Schizosaccharomyces pombe: one gene and its partners. The gene in region 4 interacts genetically with the main gene of each other region. Each region holds a gene or a part of one and is shown on either strand. Other genes may lie near its edges.

Region 1 (4,146 bases), on a different chromosome or scaffold from region 4:
CGCATAGGTCGGTTCAACAGCCGTATCTGTCGTTCCATGAATGATTTTTTATGTTCGTAAATATCCATTTAGGAAGTAAATTTGATTTAAATCAAGATTATCAGGATTAAAATAAAAACAGTTGAATACTGATCGAAAAACAAGTCAATATGGTATTGAAATTAACAAAGCAAGTTCACGCAAAGGCAACAAACTAACAGCGACTTTTGAGCATATAGACGTCTTCAGTGTAAGCACTTCCAAAATTAATTACTTAACAAAAAAAGACCAAATCAATCAGACCTTGGCTGATGGTTGATTAATGACAAATTTTGAGAAAGTTACAGGAGACTAAAGAAGTCGAAAAGTCGAGCGACTAAATAGAATACTTTGAATGATGTTAAAATGAAGATTTTATGTACATAATCATTAAGCTAGCTCCTTAGAAAGGACTCGTCTAATGCGAGTTAAAAAATTAGTGCATATATCAGTTCTAAGATATAGCGAAGAGAGTAATATTCTATGAAGGATGAACCCTAGAGTATAGTGTATTGTGAAGTTGACCTAGGATATACCATTAATATTGAATAGCATTAAACATATTTATTTATCCTTAAAACTAATAGCTTACAAAAAAATTCAGATTTACAAACAAGCACCCAGAATTGGTACATATACTCTACGGTGGTAAAACGTAAACGAAAGCTTGGTTTTTACAATGTAGTACCATTTAGGTTATTTCGAGCTAGTTGAGAAACAAAAACAAATGATGGTTTCCAAAATATAATGATAAAATATTCTCATAGGTTCACTAGCTAGATGGCAAGCCAAGAGTGGGACAAGTAGCTTTTGTAAAACATCATGAAGCTAGCAATCTAATCGTAGCTGTCAAATTGCAGATTCAAGTGTCAAGTAAATCAATATGTCCGGCTCTGTGTTACACTTCCATGCTCCTTCAACTATACACACTCGTTACTTTACAAATACAAAAATTATCTGTCTGTATTTCTCTTTACATAATTCATGTTTACGAACACGCAGCTCTACAACTGTTACTTTCACTACCAAATTTAGATATCTTGAAAAAACCTAGGTTTTTATGCGAATGTACAACGTTAGTCCAAACAAAGAAATTATTGAATAAGATAGAAGTGAAACCATCCATTGAACCCGCCTTTTTGCATCTCTTTACTTAAGAGGAATGAAACGAGAACTATGAGTGGCACCAATACCGGGACGACCGTGCTTAGTAGGCTTGTAAGTGATAGAGAACTCACCCAAGTAGTGACCAATCATTTCAGGACGAATCTCAACTTGGTTGAAGAGCTTACCGTTGTAAATACCAACGACAGAACCGACCATCTCGGGAAGGATGATCATGTTACGCAAATGGGTCTTAACAGTGGCGGGCTTCTCATTAAGAGGAGCTTCAGTCTTAGCCTTGCGGAGCTTACGGATGAAGCGAGAGGCATTGGGTCCAAGACCACGAAGCATACGACGACGAGCACGGGCATGGAACAAATCAACCAATTGCTCAGCAGAGAGATCCAAAAGCTGCTCAAGCTCAACACCACGGTAAGCAAAAGTACGGAAACTTCTCTTCTTTCTCAGTTCGGCAACGCGAACGGCTTCATCATGTTCTTCGGCCATGCTGTGTATTGGATTTTATGCCGTAGTTGGTGATGGTCAAACGTATCTTTTCTAGTGTTTCCTGCTACAAGTTTTGGTCACTATAAACAGTCACGTAAACCCTACCCTATAAAATTTCTTAGAGTTAAATAAAGGGGTACTGTATATATCGTTACGTTGCACAATCGCTTAGCTTTTGGGTATCAAACTTATGTGTGCGACTTACCAGAAACCATCATCGTATTGCATGTAGGAGGGTAATCATGTTTTTGTACTGATTATTTATGGTTTTTTGAGGAGGATTATTAAGAATTGATTGTATCTCATAATAAAATGGCAGGAACCCCATCATTTCAAAAATTAATGGCTTTAGCAGATAGCCAATCTGCCCAAGCCGCAGTTCAAATTGAACAATTGAGAAAGGCGCAGATCCGAGAGAAAGCACGGGAAATTACTGAAGAACGCAACAGGCAAAGGAAACTACAGCGTGAGCGTGAACTACGGCAGAAATATGAAGAAGAGCAAAGACGCCAGCAAGCTATGGAGGCGAAAAGAATAGCTGCATCGACAAGACAGACGTCGGAGCGGCCTCCCTTATCCGCTGAGGAAGCTAAAAGAATCCGTGAAGTAAAGGAGAAAGATCGGCTCGAAAGCAAAAAAAATGAGAGGCAGGGTAAACCTCGTTCGTATAATGAGCTTTTGCGACAGGCATCTTCTGCACCAGCTGTCAACGAGACGTCTTCCTCGGGGTTGCTTCAATCAAAAGATAAGAGAAGTCAATCACCGCACTCTCCTAAAAAACCTGTTAAGAATTCATCATCTAGAGATCAACCGGTTCGTAATAGTGGGGCTACTTCCACAGCTAGTCTACCACCCGCTGGTTTACGTGCAGGCCGTGGTTCTCAAATATCGGCATCTCTAGCATGGCTTAAGACGGGAGGTGCGTCTGCCGCTCCTAGCAATCCTCGACAACCACCTCCAACTTCAAATTTTTCTAATCGTAAAGCCCGCTATGCTTCAAATGGACTTGTGCAACTACAGACTGGACCAAAACGAGATAAACGTTCAGCCGGTGAAGTACAAGATGAAATTATGAAAAGGAGACAGAATTCTTCGATTTCTCAAGCTGCCACTCCTAGGACAGTCTCTAATTCTGAAACTTCATACGTAGGTTCACCTGCACTAAAGCAATCCAAACCAAATTCATTGAAGTCTAACAATACATCTCGTAAAACATCGGCCTCTTCAGCCATTACAAAACCCAAAGCAAGACCTCATACCTCAAGGCACGATGAGTTTGTTGTTTCCGATGACGACGAGTTGAACGATCGAGTTCCTGATGTTTCCTCCGAAATTTGGAAGATATTTGGTAAGAGGAAACAGGACTATGTTTCTCGCGACGTATTTAGTGACGAAGATGATATGGAGGCCACCGGACATGATGTTTGGCGTGAGGAACAAGCGGCAGCTCGCGCAGCACGTTTGGAAGATGAATTAGAAGAACAACGCGAACGGGAACGAGAATTGGCGAAAAAAAGAAGGAAAAATAAATAATCTTTTTGTATGTTACTCTAATATCTGTATCACTGCTCAATGATTTACAACTTCTTTCTTTTGTGATACATTTCGGTTTAATATTGTTTGTTTGATTTGTCTTCGTTAAGTCTCTTTTTTTTCCATGAAAAAGTTCATTCCTTTTGTTATTTATGTTGATGTCTCTAATAATTTATTTTGACGGTAGCCATTCTAATGGCTTAGTTGATTTACGCGTAATGTTTAATTAAAACCGAGTTAACACTTTATAAGTGTTTAATAATGCTTGAAATAGCAATACCTCATCATCATTATCTTTATTGCGAAATTAGTGTTTCCTTAAAGTGAATTTTAAGGTTAACTACAATTTTTATAATTGTTCGTCTACCGCAATAAGATGATGCTTTTACCCTACAATACCTAGTAATGACTTTCAGTATACACCTATTTAACCTTTTTTATCTTTTCGTGGATTATAATTGATCTTATTAAACAAAAAAGTGATAATATGAATAAAAATTGGTAACATAACGAATATGTTGAAATGGTTTTCTAAATTTAACTAGTGACTTTACCTTCGGCCTCGTGATGAGTTGAGGTACGTTGCAACTGCATAACAAAGTCTTCCAACTTTCTGGTAGTGCCACGTTCCTTATGTTTTCCGTGCATCCATCTGTCAAATGAAGAGGATTCTGAAAGTATATAATAAACTCCTGCTATAAGGCAGAAGATTCCAAAAGAATACATCCAAATGCGAATAACAGCGACAATGGACGTTTGATGGCCTCCTTTAAACCATCCAAAAATACAGAATAAGGTAGCTAAGATATCCACCACCAATACTGCACCGCTTAACTGCCATGATGGGAAGGAAGACCAGAAAGGACCGCTACATCGGGTTATGAAAATTAACCAATTTTCGGTCAAAGAAATTTGAAGGAACAAAACTTCATCTTGGACACCAAAATTCTGAACGATACCACGATTTTGACCTTGGGCAATCAT
Region 2 (5,225 bases), 2.0 Mb from region 4:
ATTTATGAGTGAACTAAAAGTCGAACCCAAGTTGCAAGTAAAAATCTAATAAAATGATGTAAACGAACTCTCAGCTGGGAAAACCTTAAAGTTCCAAATGAAAAGGGATACTGAATATGAAAAAGTCTCCGTTAAATACGATTGCCATACAACTTCTCAAATGCCATGAAGTATTTAACGAATTTCGTTAAAAAAATAATTGTAAACATATTGGTATGTGTTTTCGCAATTATTAACGCCTTGGTGAGTCATAAAAGTATCATTGGAATAAAAATAGATTTTGTTTGTTTGTTTTTTTGGTTAATTCCTAAATGGACAGTTACGGGAATTGCTTTGAGTTGTTTTCGTTATGTTGACGATTAATTAACTACAAAGTTCTCACGTGTCAGTGTAACAATGTTACCTAGACTTTTAGGTACCTATTTATTTAAAATTGGGTCTATGTTTATTTTACAAGCTTGAATCAAGTAAATATATATTTTCTAATCATATGAATACTAAAAAAATTTTTACAAAGGAACCCAGCAAAACTATCAAATGGAGCCAAAGTAGCTTATTTATTTAGTATGAATGTGATACGCAACGCGACGTGTCGCGCGTTTAATTTACTGGCTTAATACGCGAGGCGAGGCTTTTGTTTACAAACAATACTAGGTGAATATGAGAAAATATTTGAGTAAACAAACAAAATCAAATTGTATATATATCCAGGATACTCCTCCAAACTTCCACAGAAAAAAAGATAGGTTTATCTTTTTACTTCTAGAGGAAAACCTGCATCTTGCTTACCGAGGCCATTGCTGAATATTAAAGCCAGACATAAGTAGGATTAACCAACAGGTGAATTCATCAGCCTCCCAAGGAATATATATACATACTTCTTCTTCCTAAAAATCTTTCCGAGTCAATCCGGAAGAGTATGGACTTCTATTCAGTGAAGTCTCAGCCGTTTGTTCGATCTCCTCTAGTCGACCAAAATCCCAGTATACAAAATATAAACGAAGAAGTAAAGAGAGATATTCAAAATCCTCTTAGCTATAAAACAGAAACTTCGGACAAAGAACTGTGTCAAACTGCAGCTTGCGCAACTTCATGCTCCGACTGGTACCCTCAACAACAAACGCACATGCCTCATCAAAATGCCTTTGACTCTGCTAAAGCCACAGCAAAGATGGCTCTCCCACCCACTGCTTTTTCAAACTACTGTGTAAAACCTTCCCTAACGCGAAACAAGGATATACCAAGAACCAGCATTCGAGTTTCCAAACTTCGTTACTGGCAAAGAGATTATCGATTGGCGTTTCCCAACTTTATATTTTACTTTGACAACGTTGATGAGGAAATCAAGCGTCGTGTTACGCAAAAGATTAATAATCTTGGAGCCGTAAGTAGTTCATGCAAGAACTTGCGCAGATCAAAACTAACACATATATAGAAAGTAGCAACATTATTTACTTTTGAAGTTACACATTTCATTACCACCAGGACTACCGACCCAGAAATGTGCCAGCCGAATGATGTACTTTACCTTTCGAAAACTGCCAATATGAAAATTTGGCTCCTGGACAGTAAGTCTTCTTAATATATCAGTGTAACCTTCGCTAACTTTCTTAGAACTATTGAACAGAATCCTCTTTACATTACTCAACTCTGATAGCCTGGTTAATACCTCAGCTTCGTGCTTGCAATCTCTCCTAGACGGTGAAAAAGTGTATGGTACATCAGACAAAGACTTTTACGTGCCAAGCAAAAACGTCGAGTACTTTCGTGAATACTTCCTCTGCATTAGAGATTTATCACAATACTATAAGCCAATTGCAGTACGAGAATGGGAGAAAACATTGGATTCTGGAGAGATCTTATGGCCAAGTCTTGCTATAACCGCACAAGGAAGATGTCCATTTAATACTGGTAGAAGAAGGGAGTTAAAAATCACAAAACATAACCATCCAGCTCACGAAATCAGAAAACAGCTCTTAAGTTGCACTAATCAAACTAACCAAAATAACGTTGTTAAAAATTCAGCGAGTGTGTTGGTGCGTCAAATCATGGGGGACTATAATATCACAGAATCAGCAGTTGATGGTGCAAAACAAATGCCGACAGAGTTTCCAAAGCCAGAAAACCTCTTACCGGTAGAGAAACGCGCCGCAATGTCTCCACTTAACCTTCTTGAACCTCGTTTAATAAACAAACAAAACACCTTGGCTAACCAAAGTCCTCGACAACCACCTAATGCCTTCGATGCAGATCCTCTAGCTCACAAGAAGGTGAAAATCGAAACAAAATCAGGATATTGTGAAAACTGCTGTGAGAGATACAAGGACTTGGAAAGGGTAAGTTAAACCAATCATAGCAAAAACAGCACTAACACATCGATAGCATTTGGGCGGAAAACATCATAGAAGATTTGCAGAGAAAGATGAAAATTTCCAGGGTTTAGATGATTTGTTTTTGCTAATCCGACGCCCAATTCGGACAAATTAACGTTAGTTCAAGTTTTAAGGATGTCTCAAAAATTCCAGAAAGCAAGTTCAAACATTCAAATAAACCGTAAAATCAATATATCCTTTGTCCAAATGAAAAATTCAAAATAATCTGCTAAAAGGGAAGAGAAAATTAACAATATAATGATGTGTTGTAGCATTCTTTTCTTAAACCAAGGTCAGGCTTAAGCCTATGATTGTAACAAACAATGCAAGTAAAGCTCCAAACATTATCGAGTTTAAATCAAAATAGATTTAAAATAAGTTAGACTGGTTTTCCAAGCGTGGAAAGCTCATTGGTGATACACTCTTTCAAAAGTTCAGATTTGATTTGCATCATTCCTTCCTTTGCGTTTTCTGTTCCAACAATCCCTAATAATAATGGGTCTTTGGAGTAAAGTTTATCTTCAGCCCCATCAATTGAAATGGCGGCTATTAATAATTTCCCCCTTTCAAACTCAATTATTGTTTCAAAAAGTACATCTCTTTGATGAGCAATCACGTCGTCTGTAGACTCCGCGACCAAAGGGCTAGGGTTGGTTGCAGTATAAAGTGAATACATGTTGCCTGCTAAAGCCGCAATAGATCTAACCCTTTTAGCTAAATCCAGACGTTTTAAACCATCTTTAGGATCTTCAAAAGAAACATAAGCTAGCAGCGAGCCAGTAGTGGTAAAAACCCTAGTTTGTTAATACCTCAGAATATTTCAACAATAAACTTATATATCTAAGCTCCAAAATAGTACAGGTGTACCCACTGGATTTGAAGTAAGAATGAACTTCAAATTCACTAAATGCTTACATGATAGACGGTACAGTTTCCTCAACTGCCTGTTTCATCAACGACGACAACTTCTTTGGCTTAATCATCTTCGAATTTAAACTTAGATAGCAGTAAAGGTAGCAATATGTATTTTAAAGTCCAATCGGCAATAACGATTTAACCTGTTTTGAATGGTGGTTATAAGTAGTTTGTAAGCTACGCAGTTTGGTATCTGATTTAAGGATACGTAGAACTGCGGTGAGTTTTCCTTGTGGTCTATTATATTACAATACACAGGTTGTATAAGTAGCAACTGAGTATAGGTATTGTATTAACTGGGTTATAATGTTACCTATCACTAATATAGCTCATAACTGAACTGAGGAACGAGGTTCAGTTGTAACGCTATTTATAATATTTCTAAATAGTTGTTATCAACGGGTATCTATGTATATAGAAGGATAGTTACCCGTGATTATCAATAAACGGATCTTAGCTAGTATTCCAACATATGACATATAGTGATACGCAACGTAGTGTAGCATAGCGTAGTGTAGTATTGCTGACATAGTTGGACAATATACGGTGGACGTAATGTGTATTATGTTAAGTAATCTGATAATAAATAATATTGTTATAAGATTCCGAATATTTTATTAAAGTAAAAAATGTTAATCGACATATATACATTTTTATTTCTTTTTATTGTGTTTGAAAATTAGGGCTTGGTAGACCAACGTTCTCCCAACGAATGCTTTATTTAGAAAGCTGATTTGCATATGCAGTCCGTACTATTTGGGCCTACAGAGACTTACCATTAGTTACATATACAAATGATCTTCCCTTCATTATGAAATTAAAAAGCTAACTATTTTCTACAGTTTGAGAAAAAATGACTACGTTTCGTCGTGCAGCTTCAGAATTCCTCAAACATTAATTAGGATAAGGATTACCCAATACTAAAGGGACAAAAACGGGTTAAGATGTATCATAAAACAACACAAAGTTATCTATAATATGACATACCACTAATAACATAGCGAGTCAAAAGCGACGTACTCACTTCCGAAGTTGTTCGCAATATAAGTAATTAAATTGGGAAAAACACATGTGTTAAATCGTTTCGTTAAAAGCTATAGTTAAGTCGAAACAAATTATACGGCCATTAAACTGCCAATAAAATGAAGGACCAACCGAGGACGAACGGCCACAATATCTTCTGGCAAAATAAAGATTACGGCACCCAACTTTCTGGCGATAGAAATAGCAAGACGAGCTAAACGATGTGTTAGTAATGAAAATTAAAAATATATCAAATATATATACATACCATTTTGAATAGCAAGTTCTTCAGTAGAACCATCGGTAACAAGATTGTAATCAACATATTCGCTCTTAATTCCATGAAGTACGTCTAAGACGAACACACCAGTGGAAATAGAAGGATCACGGAATGAACGAATTTGAGAACCTTTACCACCTTTAGCAGCCATAGAATTGGCCCACGCAACCATGTCACTATCTGAAAGAGTTTTACCTCCACGGCTAAGACTATGTAGAGTTTTGGTAATGTTCATACGCATCATTTGCCAAACCAATGCTAAGGTGAGTGTACGAGAACCGTCAGTAATATCAGCACCTTGTATTCCTACCAAAGAAAAACCTTGATTTTTTCCAAGGTCCACTGCATAATTACAGTTTTCAACAGCTTTGAAACGCATCATTTCATCTCCAGATGCAGGTGCCTTGTTCACCTTTTTCCAGTTAACGGTATTAGGTGTGATTTTATCGTAAGCTTGCAACAAAATCAAGCCATCTCGTAAATTATTGAAGAAGTCATGAATGGATGGAGTAACATCAAGAGAGTTCAACCACAAGGTAAAAACACGTGCCTCACGCTCACCTTCTGCATCAAATGGTTCAATCTCCGGCTTTTCCTCTTCATTTAAAGGCTCCAAACCTGGATGAGTATTAAAG
Region 3 (7,869 bases), 2.7 Mb from region 4:
CCATGTATTTTGTATCGAGATAAATAATTGAATATGAAATTCTACCTATATGCTTAATAAAATCAAAAATTGCCTCGCATAAACAAAAAAAAACTCGGTGATTAAATACACCGAATCACTTGGTTAGCCGCAAGGCAATATGAAGTGGATTGTAATGTGTTTGTTTACTAATCCATTACACCAATTTTCTTGCACACATTCACATGCAGCACAATAAGGAAAATCATTTTGTAGAGGATGCAAAGCAATTCCAAGAAAAAGCAAAACTCTATCAAGGAAACTACTATACACTGGATGGAGAATTAATCACCATAATACCTAGCTCGAAGGAGGGCTTTCGATCATGCAAATCGCTTTATTATAAGAAGAAGCAACCTATACCGGGAAGGTAATAAAATATAGATGCAGCTGCATCTGCAGCATATTGATGGCGTGCTTGCACATACTCCTCAACCCTTCAAACTTTTACTTCAATAAACGAAGGGTACCAAACCACTACCTTTCTTGAACTATTTTATCAAAGAAATGCATAATAGCATTAACGAATAATGAAAATTACTACCAAACCATTTTGCTTGCCAACAACAATTGAGTTTGTGTAACTTGATATATACTAGAAGATAAATCTAAACTATAGAAAAATCTGTAACGAAAAAAGCCCGATAGTTTTCTCGCTCCAACAAACTCAATAATTTTACAATCTTTAAAAAAATCTCCTTTACAAGTTTATAAAGTGAACCATTCATGCTATGAGCATCAACGAAGAGTGTGTATGCTCATTGAAACATGCTAGACTTTTTCAACAAGTAATCTACTCTATAACATAAAAGCAATCCGGAATGCAAACAACGTGTCATGAAAAGATCAGATTAAAGATAATGATAGAAGAACAATTTCATGGACTCTAGGAACAGGCGCAGAAAAATTAACAAGGTTTTGATATTCAATCGATAATTGCAGCAAACAAAATGCAAGAATACCAACTTGAAAAAATATGATATAATTTGGGCATTGGGAAGAAAGGAAAACCAAACAAATGAATTTATAAAATAATTAAGCTATTATACAGCAAGAATTTTGCTTTTTAGCAGATTTATAAAACATTCGAGACTGTGTAGATAAGTTATCACTACGTTGGATCAAGTCGTCCAACTTCTCTCCTCTAGCTAAGACACTCTCGATTGTTTTATGAAGTACATCTTTAGTTTCATCCAATTCTTGTTGCACTCGCATAATCGTATCAGCCTGCTTGGGGTCTTGATATTTTGATAGATAGGTATCCAATTCTGGAAAGGATAGGGTAACAGCACCAGATTCCCATTTGGTGCGAGGATTTTTTGTCAAAAATTCGTCTAGAATCTTATTTAGAAGAGTATAAGCAACACGTAAAGGGTATTCCTTGTCACTAGCAATCACACCGCACAACCCATCCGATCGGTTGTACACATGAAAAACGTAATTGGACTGTTCAACGTCTTGTCTTTGCCCTGGATTAGTACGTTCTGCAACAGTCTTTGTAAAAAAATTCATGAACTCTCCGATGCTGAAATATTTGTTAACAAACTACTCTTCAATTAAATCTTGCACATACGATGATCGTTGAAAAAATGAGAAACTAGATAAGTCTGAGGCAGTGCATAATAATTGCACTGGTTTTGGGTCAAAGCGGAGTATAGAGACAGAATACAGCTTCATTCTGTAAATATGCTGTAAATCAAGTTAATGGTGTGGGTTAAGTTTGTTTCTGCTTTGGTTGAAAACGCCATACTTCTTGCAATCGTATGTACACACATAATACCTTCGACTACGGTATTTTTCTATTACACAAATAATAGGTAGTGGCCATTTGTTTACAAACCATCCCCTACACTACTAGCAGTGCTAAATTGGGTAGTATATTGGATACAATCCTATAAAAGCAATAAAAATTCAAATTTTTTCTGTTTAAGGAGGTTTTAATTTCAACGATCTATCCTTTTACAGTTTTCATGGAAGTTGAGTTAAATTATGTAGTGAATCACTTAGAAAAGCTAGGTCCTGCTAGTTTTTGTGATACTCCATATAGCTTTTCGCTGAGTGATTCGAATGCTGAGCTAGGTGCTTTATCGTTAAAAGTTGACGAAATTTTGAAAACAAATTATAATTTAATCAATCCCGAGGACGTTACTGACTCCGACAATAATGAATTTGCTCTTAAAGATTTAACTTGGCTGCAAAATTGCTGCAATGAAATTTCTCAATCTTCAAGTACTGAACTTGATGCTTCAGTACTATTTGAAGCAGTCATTATGAGCCTAAAAGCGACTGAAGATCAATGTGCCATTCAAGAAGATTTACTGAATCTTGTTGGACTTGATCATATTGACTTGATTTCAGATATCGTCGCTAATTCGTCCAATTTAATAGAAGAATACATGAATCAAAATGATACTTCAATTGCTGCGCAACTTTCTGATGGCTATACCTCTGAAGCTGGTTCTTCTGCTACGCATGGTCAGGGATTATTAGACAGTTTAAAAAGTAGGCCGAGAAGATTTAGTCGGTCTCGTGATAACAGAGGTCCTTTATTTACTGGACAGCAAGTTTTTGAAGTGGAAAAATATCCTCATGTGTATGGGGATAAAAGGCTTGGTAATACTATTAGCGTCATTGGGAAAAAGTTTGCATTACCGGCTGGTAGTGAAAGAGAAGATTACCAGAAATATGAAGAGATTATTGTTCCTCATGCTCAGCGTGCTCCACAAATGCAAGGGGAAAAGTTGTTAGAAATTTCTTCGATGGATATTCTTTGTCGAAAAACATTCCTTAGCTACCAAACTTTGAACAGAATCCAATCGCTTGTCTATCCTATCGCCTACAAGACAAACGAGAATATGTTAATTTGTGCACCTACAGGTGCAGGAAAAACTGATGTTGCTCTGCTCGCAATGTTGCAAACAATCTCCAACTATGTAGAAAGTATGAATCTTATGGATGAATCGGAACCTCTAGATGTTCATAGAGATGATTTTAAGATTGTCTACATTGCTCCTATGAAGGCATTGGCTGCTGAGGTTGTAGAGAAAATGGGAAAACGTCTCGCTTGGTTGGGATTGAAAACTAGAGAACTTACTGGTGATATGCAACTAACCAAAACGGAAATAGCAGAAACTCAGATACTTGTTACAACACCTGAAAAATGGGACGTAGTTACTAGAAAAAGCGTCGGCGACACTCAGTTAGCCGAGAAAGTACGTTTGGTTATCATTGATGAAGTACATATGCTTCATGATGAACGTGGTGCTGTTATTGAATCACTTGTCGCTAGGACACAAAGGCTGGTAGAAACAAGTCAACAGATGATTAGAATTGTTGGTCTTTCTGCCACACTTCCAAACTACCTTGATGTAGCTGATTTTTTAGGCGTCAATAGGTACAAGGGATTGTTTTATTTTTCATCTGCATTTCGTCCATGCCCTATTGAACAGCATTTCATCGGTGCTAAAGGTTCTCCTAAAATAGTAAACTCAAATATTGATGAAGCTTGTTTTGATAAAGTTTTGAAACTGATTCAGGAAGGCCATCAGGTAATGATATTTGTACATTCTAGGAAGGAAACCATTAATTCAGCTAAGAAGTTGAGGGAACAATTTTTCCATGAGGGAGAGGCTGATTTGTTGGACAACTCACAACATGAAAAATATAGTCTAGCTCAAAGAGATGTTTCAAAGTCAAAAAACAAAGAGTTAAAAGAACTTTTCAAATACAGTATGGGGATTCACAACGCTGGCATGTTACGATCGGACCGACATCTTACTGAACGTTTGTTTTCTATGGGTATTCTTAAAATTTTATGCTGTACTGCTACCCTAGCATGGGGTGTTAATTTACCGGCTTATGCTGTATTAATTAAAGGAACTCAGCTTTATGATCCACAAAAGGGTTCTTTTGTAGATCTTGGCGTGTTGGACGTTTTACAAATATTCGGTCGTGCTGGTCGTCCTCAGTTTGAAAGTTCGGCAGTCGCGTACATAATTACGACACATGATAAACTTTCTCATTACATCTCCGTTGTAACACAACAAAGCCCTATTGAATCTCGTTTCACCGATAGATTGGTTGACAACTTAAACGCTGAAGTTTCTTTAGGAACGGTAACTAATATTGACGAAGCTGTATCGTGGTTAGGTTATACTTATCTTTATATCAGGATGAGACGTAATCCACTTGTATACGGTATTGCTTATGACGAACTTGTTGAGGATCCTTTACTAGGCAGCAAGCGAAGAGAATTGGTATCTGTAGCGGCAGGAAGGCTGGCAGATAATCAAATGATCGTTTACAATAAGAAAAACGGATACCTGATTCCTAAAGATTTAGGTAGAATCGCGTCCAATTACTATATCAATTATCAAACTGTCTCAACATTAAATAATTTATTGAAAAGCAAAATGTCGGAAGCAGACATTATAGCTCTTTTGAGCCAATGCAGCGAGTTTTCCCAAATCAAATCGAGAGAAAATGAGCATCGTGAGCTTGAATCACTAATGGAAAACAGTAGTCCTTGTCAGTTGAGGGATAGTATTTCGAATACATCAGGAAAAGTTAACGTTATTCTGCAGTCATACATTTCTCGTGCGCATGTAGAAGATTTTACCCTAACATCAGATACAAATTATGTTGCACAAAACGCGGGTCGAATAACTAGGGCTCTTTTCGAAATTGCAATGTCAAGGACTTGGGCCTCGGCATTTACTATCCTTAGCTTAAACAAGTCAATTGATAGGAGGCAGTGGTCTTTTGAACACCCCTTACTTCAGTTTGATCTTCCACATGACCTTGCAGTCAAAGTGGAAAATCAGTGTGGGTCTTTATCATTAGAAGAATTGTCGGACATGTCTACAGGAGAACTTGGTGATCTTATTCATAACCGAAAAATGGGCCCTACAGTTAAAAAATTTATTTCCAAATTACCTCTTTTAAACATTAATGTTGATTTGCTACCTTTAACGAAAAACGTTTTGCGACTTGTATTAAATATCACTCCCAATTTTAATTGGGACATGAGATATCATGGAAACAGTCAAATGTTTTGGATATTTGTTGAAGATAGTAACGGTCTTGAGATTCTTCATCATGAACAGTTGCTCCTAAATAAACGGAACGTTAGCACTTCTCATTTACTATCCTTTACCATACCTGTGTCTAATCCATTACCCTCACAACTATACATTATTGCAGTATCAGATAAATGGCTAGGCGCTGAAACAGTTACCCCGGTTTCTCTTTCTAATGTTGTTTTTCATGACGATTCCAATCCCATTACAGAATTATTGGATCTTCAACCTTTACCAATTACGGCTTTGCACGATCCAGTGCTAGAAGGTATATGCGCTAAAAGATTCTCGTTTTTTAATGCAGTCCAAACTCAATTTTTTCACACTATTTATCACACCGATACAAATATTTTCGTTGGTGCACCTACTGGATCTGGTAAAACTATGGCCGCAGAATTAGCTACTTGGAGAGCTCTTCACAATTATCCTAAGTCGAAAGTAGTTTATATTGCTCCAATGAAAGCTTTAGTCAAGGAAAGAGTAAAGGACTGGGGACACAGGTTAGTTGAACCAATGGGGATTAGTATGATTGAATTAACTGGTGATACTAACCCGGATGTTAAGGCTGTTACGAATGCAAATATCATAATTACAACACCGGAAAAATGGGATGGTATTACTAGAAGTTGGAAATCTAGGAAGTATGTTCAGGATGTCTCATTAATTATCCTTGACGAAATCCATTTATTAGGTAGCGATCGAGGTCCTGTCCTTGAAATGATTGTCTCCCGAATGAATTATGTTGCTTCTCAAACTAATAAGAAAGTTAGAGTTCTTGGTTTATCTACTGCTGTTGCTAACGCTAACGATCTTGCAAATTGGCTTAACATAAGAGATGGTCTATTTAATTTTAGGCATTCCGTGCGCCCAGTTCCTTTAGAAATATATATCGATGGATTCCCTGGTAGAGCCTATTGCCCAAGGATGATGTCGATGAATAAGCCTGCTTTTCAAGCCATCAAAACGCACTCTCCTACCCAACCTGTTTTAATTTTTGTTTCGTCGCGCCGTCAAACTAGATTAACTGCAAAAGATTTGATAGCTTTTTGTGGTTTAGAAGACAATCCTAGGAGATTTTTGTACATGGATGAAGAAGAATTAGAAATGATTGTTTCAGAAGTTGAAGATAAAAGCCTCAAGTTGGCTTTACCATTTGGTATAGCACTTCACCATGCTGGTTTGACTGAAAATGATAGAAAAATTTCCGAAGAGCTTTTTGTAAATAATAAAGTTCAGATTCTCATCGCCACCAGCACTCTTGCATGGGGTGTAAATACGCCGGCACATTTGGTAATTGTGAAAGGAACAGAGTATTACGATGCTAAAATTGGAGGCTATAAAGACATGGATTTGACGGATGTGCTTCAAATGTTAGGGCGTGCAGGACGACCACAATTTGACAATTCTGGTGTGGCACGTATATTTGTACAGGATATTAAGAAGTCGTTTTATAAGCACTTTCTACATAGTGGATTTCCAGTAGAGTCTTATTTACATAAAGTATTGGATAACCATTTAAATGCCGAGATTGCTACGGGCACTATAGATTGCATACAGGGTGCAATGGATTTTTTAACGTGCACTTACTTCTATCGAAGAGTTCATCAAAATCCCGTTTATTACGGTGCTGATGGAGATGACCAAAAGAGTATAGATACTTATTTATCGAAACTTGTTGTGACTGCATTTAATGAACTTGAAAAGTCAGCTTGCATATATCGTGTCAACGAAGAAACCTATGCACCTACAACTTTGGGTCGTATAGTTAGTTACTATTATCTTTTTCATACCACCATCAGAAACTTCGTTCAAAAAATAACTGAGAACGCTGAGTTCGATCTTGCGTTGCAATTGCTTGCTGAAGCATCTGAGTTTGACGATCTCGCTATTCGTCACAACGAAGATTTGATAAACATAGAGATTAATAAATCTCTGAAATATTCGGCTGCTTGCCTAAACCTTCCTATGGTCGATGCTCATGTTAAGGCATTTATATTAACTCAAGCTCACATGGCAAGATTGAAACTTCCAGTGGATGATTATGTTACTGATACTAGCACGGTTTTAGATCAGGTTATTCGTATTATACAGTCTTATATTGATGTGTCCGCTGAGCTAGGCTACTCCCATGTCTGTTTACAGTACATATCTCTAATGCAGTGTCTTAAACAGGCTTGCTATCCGAGTGAGATTTACAGAGCTTCATTACCTGGACTTAATGCGTCTAGTGAAAAGGAAGCAAGAGATTATCTCAACAAATTTGCAGGAAATAAAACTGATGAGTTATATCAAATGCTATGTAATGACCCTAACGTTTTTGATATAGAAAGTCTGGTCAATAGTTTAATTTCGTATCCTAAAATGAACATTGAAGTTTCTCAATCGTCTTCAGATAAGCTACTCCTTTATCTACGACGCCTCAATCAGCCGCTCAACCCCGATTTTTACATTTTTGCGCCGTTGTTCCCTAAACCTCAAAGTGAGGGATTTTTCGTTCTCATCATAGATTCAGAAACTCAAGAACTGTTCGCGATACGTCGGGCCTCATTTGCTGGGCGAAGAAACGATGATTCAATTCGTTTATCCCTTCGGATTTCAATGGATATTCCACCAACTTGCCGCAACAGAAATGTAAAAGTCATGGTTGTTTGTGATGGATACCCATTAATTTACGAACATAAAATTGTATTGATGATTTAATGAAGCTTTTGTAGAAAAATAGAAGGCTTTAAGCCAATTTCCTTATTATATTTAAGTCTGTTTAATAAAAATT
Region 4 (3,172 bases):
TAGATTAAGTAAGTTTTAACAAGGATCATACTATTGTGAAGCAAGAAAAACTAAACATTTTGAATCAAATGGGCGTTCTTTGCTTCATAAAGGACTAGCAAGTTGAGTTTGAGGCAGGAAAACTTGAAGTATTTAAAATCGTTTACACATCCAGATAGCCGCTTTGCAACCCATTTGAATGGCATTGGTAAGCAATGCATGAGCTGGAGCTTCCTTTGCGTTCCAACCTTCGACTGCAGTGTTCAAATGCTCTAGCTCGTCATCTCGAAACTCTGCCAAATGGCTACGAATCTCTTTAAATTCTGGAGCTTTATTTTCCAAATGAGCCGTTTCACGTAGTTGGTCGTTATAGTGTCCGCCAATTACCGTTTCTACTGCCTCTGTACAAGCCATAGCTGCTTTGGTTCCAAGCAAAGCAGTTCCTGCTCCCAACGCAAATCCAGCGATGTCCCAGAAAGGACGTAAAAAGGTAGGACGGACTCTATTCTTTAAGACATAATTATCAAATGTTGCGAGATGGTACTTTTCTTGATCCCACATATGCTGAATGGTAGGTGCGACTTTGGGATCGGTAAATTGAAGGATAAAGTGCTGACCTTTGTAAATTTGATTAGCGCCTAATTCACCTGCTTGATCGACACGAATGACGCTGTCCAAAATATTTGAGTCTTTCTCGCTCAGTTCTTTACGGCCCATCGAAATTCTACGGCATGTTATAGAGGAGCGAAGAAAAGGAGAAACCGACTTGGTAGCAATGGGTATTAACTGTCTACGTGACAACATCTTTTGTAATGGTAAAAAGGCCTGAAATTACACAGAGTTATCAATTTTCAAAACGAAATTTTACTAATCAACAATAAACCAATATTTCTAATTCACTAATAGATTGAAATATTCGACGAAAGAGACTATGATGTTGATTGGGTGTGGAGGATTAGAATGTGAAGTTCTCTACCAAACCGAACGTTTTAGGCGGAAATGCTTAGTTGAGTAACACGTTAGGCTTGAGGTGTATTTCATATCAATCTCTGAACAAATCTGCAAAATTCAAGCTAGATGGTTAAGTTAAGAAGGAATTAAATTTAAGTGATTTGATGTTCACTCTATTTTTATGGAATAAAATATTCGATAAACTTGTCGTTTATTCTTTTGCTTGATTAACGCAGTGAATACCAGTTGCTTCAACTTTATTTTTAAGTCAAAATGAAAAATACATACTTAGTTTTTAAACTAAGAGATTCAATAAACAGTGGCGTAATTTCAGGAAAGAAGCAATGTATCATTTTTTTCCTTAGCTAAATGGCTTTGCTACAGTTTCATAGTGTTCGTCAATCTTGACGGATATAGAAGTTCAATAATAAAATGCTTCTTATAAACAATAAAAAAAAAAAACATATTTAAGCTGCAGTTTTAAAGTAAACTCCAATTTCCTATCTTTTTTCCAACCAATTCAACTCAACATTGTATTTTCGCTTAAAAAACTTTAAATTAATTACTAGTTCAACCGAAGGGGAATCCGAAGATATACAAATTTCCAGTATTACTGATATAACAAGTACAAGTAGAGACTCAAAGACACCCCATCACAATTAATTTTTGACTTGCTTAATAATTCAAGAATGTAATTTGGCATTATGGATTAATTTTCTTTGTTATAGAAAAAAAGCTCCAGAACCACACCCACCTCCCCCATCGAAAATTTACAATTTGAAATATGCGAAATCAATCATTTCTTTCCTTTTTCTAATTTAATCTTTTAAACACAAATGAGTACTTATGTTTTTCAGGCCTTCTCTCATTATTTTATAAAATAGCAATATCGTTAAATTCCGTTGTATCAAAGACGTCGTTTGAATGAGCTTGATTCTTTACCCCAAACCAACTTCGTATTTATATCAACCTTTTATAAAAGCATATTTTTCGCTAAACATGGCCATTTTTGAAATCAATAATTCTTTTTTAATTTGTGCTGTATCTATTGCTTTGAACCCTCTGCTATGGAATATTGCTGCACGTTCAGAATACAATCATAAGACTTTGACCAAATTGGCAAATGGCGACTCTAAGAAGGCCTGTTACATGCTAGCAGCTTGTATTTTTGTTGCCGGAATAGTTCGTGACTTAATTTATCAGAATGCTTTAAAACAACAACCTACGCTAGGTATCTTCATGAACCCTCTTGTGCAGGGTATAGCTAAGCTCATTTTTTGTTTTGGCAGCGTCCTTGTCTTATCGAGTATGTATAAGCTAGGACTTGTTGGTACATATCTTGGTGATTACTTTGGATTTCTGCTTCCAGAGCGTGTTTCTGGTTTCCCATTTAATGTCAACGATAACCCAATGTACAACGGTTCTACTCTTTGTTTCCTTTCTACAGCTCTGCGTTATGGAAAAGTTGCTGGCCTCCTTTTAACTTTGGAAGTCTTTTTCGTTTATAGAATAGCTTTGAAATTTGAAGAGTAAGTTGCCAACTGTTTAAATTTTTAAATTTTTCTTTACTCTAACCATTAATAGACCTTTTACTGCTAAAATTTACGCTGCTCGTGATAGCAAGCAAGCTAAAAAATCCGAGTGAAGCAGCTGATTTGAAGTGGCCATAAGTTAAAGCTTCATTAGAGTTTTTTATAAAAAAAAAAAAAAAAGGAACAATTTTAAATGGAATGTTCTGTTCATGACTAGTCCTTACCTTTACTAACGCTCCTCCTTTAACCGATTTTGCCCTATGTACTTTGACGACTTCAACGTCTGTATAATTATGCATAGTTTAACGCTTTTTTTTTCAAATTATTTAAGTGTGTTGATCGCGGTCTCAACACCATGATCCGATATTTTTATATTCATACTTATGTAAAAAATAATCTAATATTTTACACCATGTAAATTAACGTGCTTTCATTCTAAAATCAAATAAAATTCAAAACAAATATATTAGCAAACCAAAAAAACCCCGTTTTGACCAATTTATATGTACAAAATCAAACTCTATAAATCCAATCGTTCAAGAGGAAAAACAGAGTACAATTTCTAATTTATTTTCCAGAACGTTTAATAGATTTGACAATGCGATCAAGTTCTTGACGTTGATCTCCTTTTTCAGCTTTACGCTTTTTGATTTTAAGCTCAGGCTTACCGTCTTGTGTTTGTTCCAATTGATTTGAGCGTCTTTTACGAC

Evidence for each region.
Region 1: mutations in cho1 (region 4) and spt2 together harm fitness less than expected from each alone (positive genetic interaction), as found in Schizosaccharomyces pombe (one large-scale study listed by BioGRID).
Region 2: mutations in cho1 (region 4) and lam2 together harm fitness more than expected from each alone (negative genetic interaction), as found in Schizosaccharomyces pombe (one large-scale study listed by BioGRID).
Region 3: mutations in cho1 (region 4) and rqt2 together harm fitness more than expected from each alone (negative genetic interaction), as found in Schizosaccharomyces pombe (one large-scale study listed by BioGRID).

Annotation. Positions count from the first base shown.
Region 1 is NC_003421.2:795,765-799,910, reverse strand, and holds spt2 (histone H3-H4 chaperone Spt2), read left to right. Parts: upstream 1-1,835; 5' UTR 1,836-1,941; coding exon 1,942-3,162; 3' UTR 3,163-3,610; downstream 3,611-4,146. Other genes in the region: protein Fta4, read right to left, coding at 1-68; rps1501 (40S ribosomal protein uS19), read right to left, coding at 1,168-1,629; P3-type proton ATPase Pma2, read right to left, coding at 3,700-4,146. UniProt on the Schizosaccharomyces pombe protein: Histone chaperone that stabilizes pre-existing histone tetramers and regulates replication-independent histone exchange on chromatin.
Region 2 is NC_003423.3:3,102,365-3,107,589, forward strand, and holds lam2 (guanyl-nucleotide exchange factor Lam2), read right to left. Parts: upstream 3,423-5,225; 5' UTR 3,356-3,422; coding exon 3,288-3,355; intron 3,167-3,287; coding exon 2,752-3,166; 3' UTR 2,488-2,751; coding exon of another isoform or gene 2,383-2,487; 3' UTR 2,337-2,382; coding exon of another isoform or gene 1,615-2,336; 3' UTR 1,569-1,614; coding exon of another isoform or gene 1,436-1,568; 3' UTR 1,385-1,435; coding exon of another isoform or gene 920-1,384; 3' UTR 538-919; downstream 1-537. Other genes in the region: Spo4-Spo6 kinase complex regulatory subunit Spo6, read left to right, coding at 920-1,384, 1,436-1,568, 1,615-2,336, 2,383-2,487; fim1 (fimbrin), read right to left, coding at 4,403-4,524, 4,579-5,225.
Region 3 is NC_003423.3:3,743,995-3,751,863, reverse strand, and holds the start of rqt2 (ATP-dependent RNA helicase), read left to right. Parts: upstream 1-1,854; 5' UTR 1,855-1,988; coding exon 1,989-7,796; 3' UTR 7,797-7,869. Other genes in the region: protein smp2, read left to right, coding at 204-392; SNARE protein Ykt6, read right to left, coding at 1,054-1,543, 1,592-1,695.
Region 4 is NC_003423.3:1,056,493-1,059,664, forward strand, and holds cho1 (putative phosphatidyl-N-methylethanolamine N-methyltransferase), read left to right. Parts: upstream 1-1,871; 5' UTR 1,872-1,929; coding exon 1,930-2,459; exon of another isoform or gene 2,460-2,476; intron 2,477-2,514; coding exon 2,515-2,575; 3' UTR 2,576-2,634; downstream 2,635-3,172. Other genes in the region: ubiquinone biosynthesis protein Coq7, read right to left, coding at 133-783; pre-rRNA processing protein Esf1, read right to left, coding at 3,030-3,172. UniProt on the Schizosaccharomyces pombe protein: Catalyzes the second two steps of the methylation pathway of phosphatidylcholine biosynthesis, the SAM-dependent methylation of phosphatidylmonomethylethanolamine (PMME) to phosphatidyldimethylethanolamine (PDME) and of PDME to phosphatidylcholine (PC).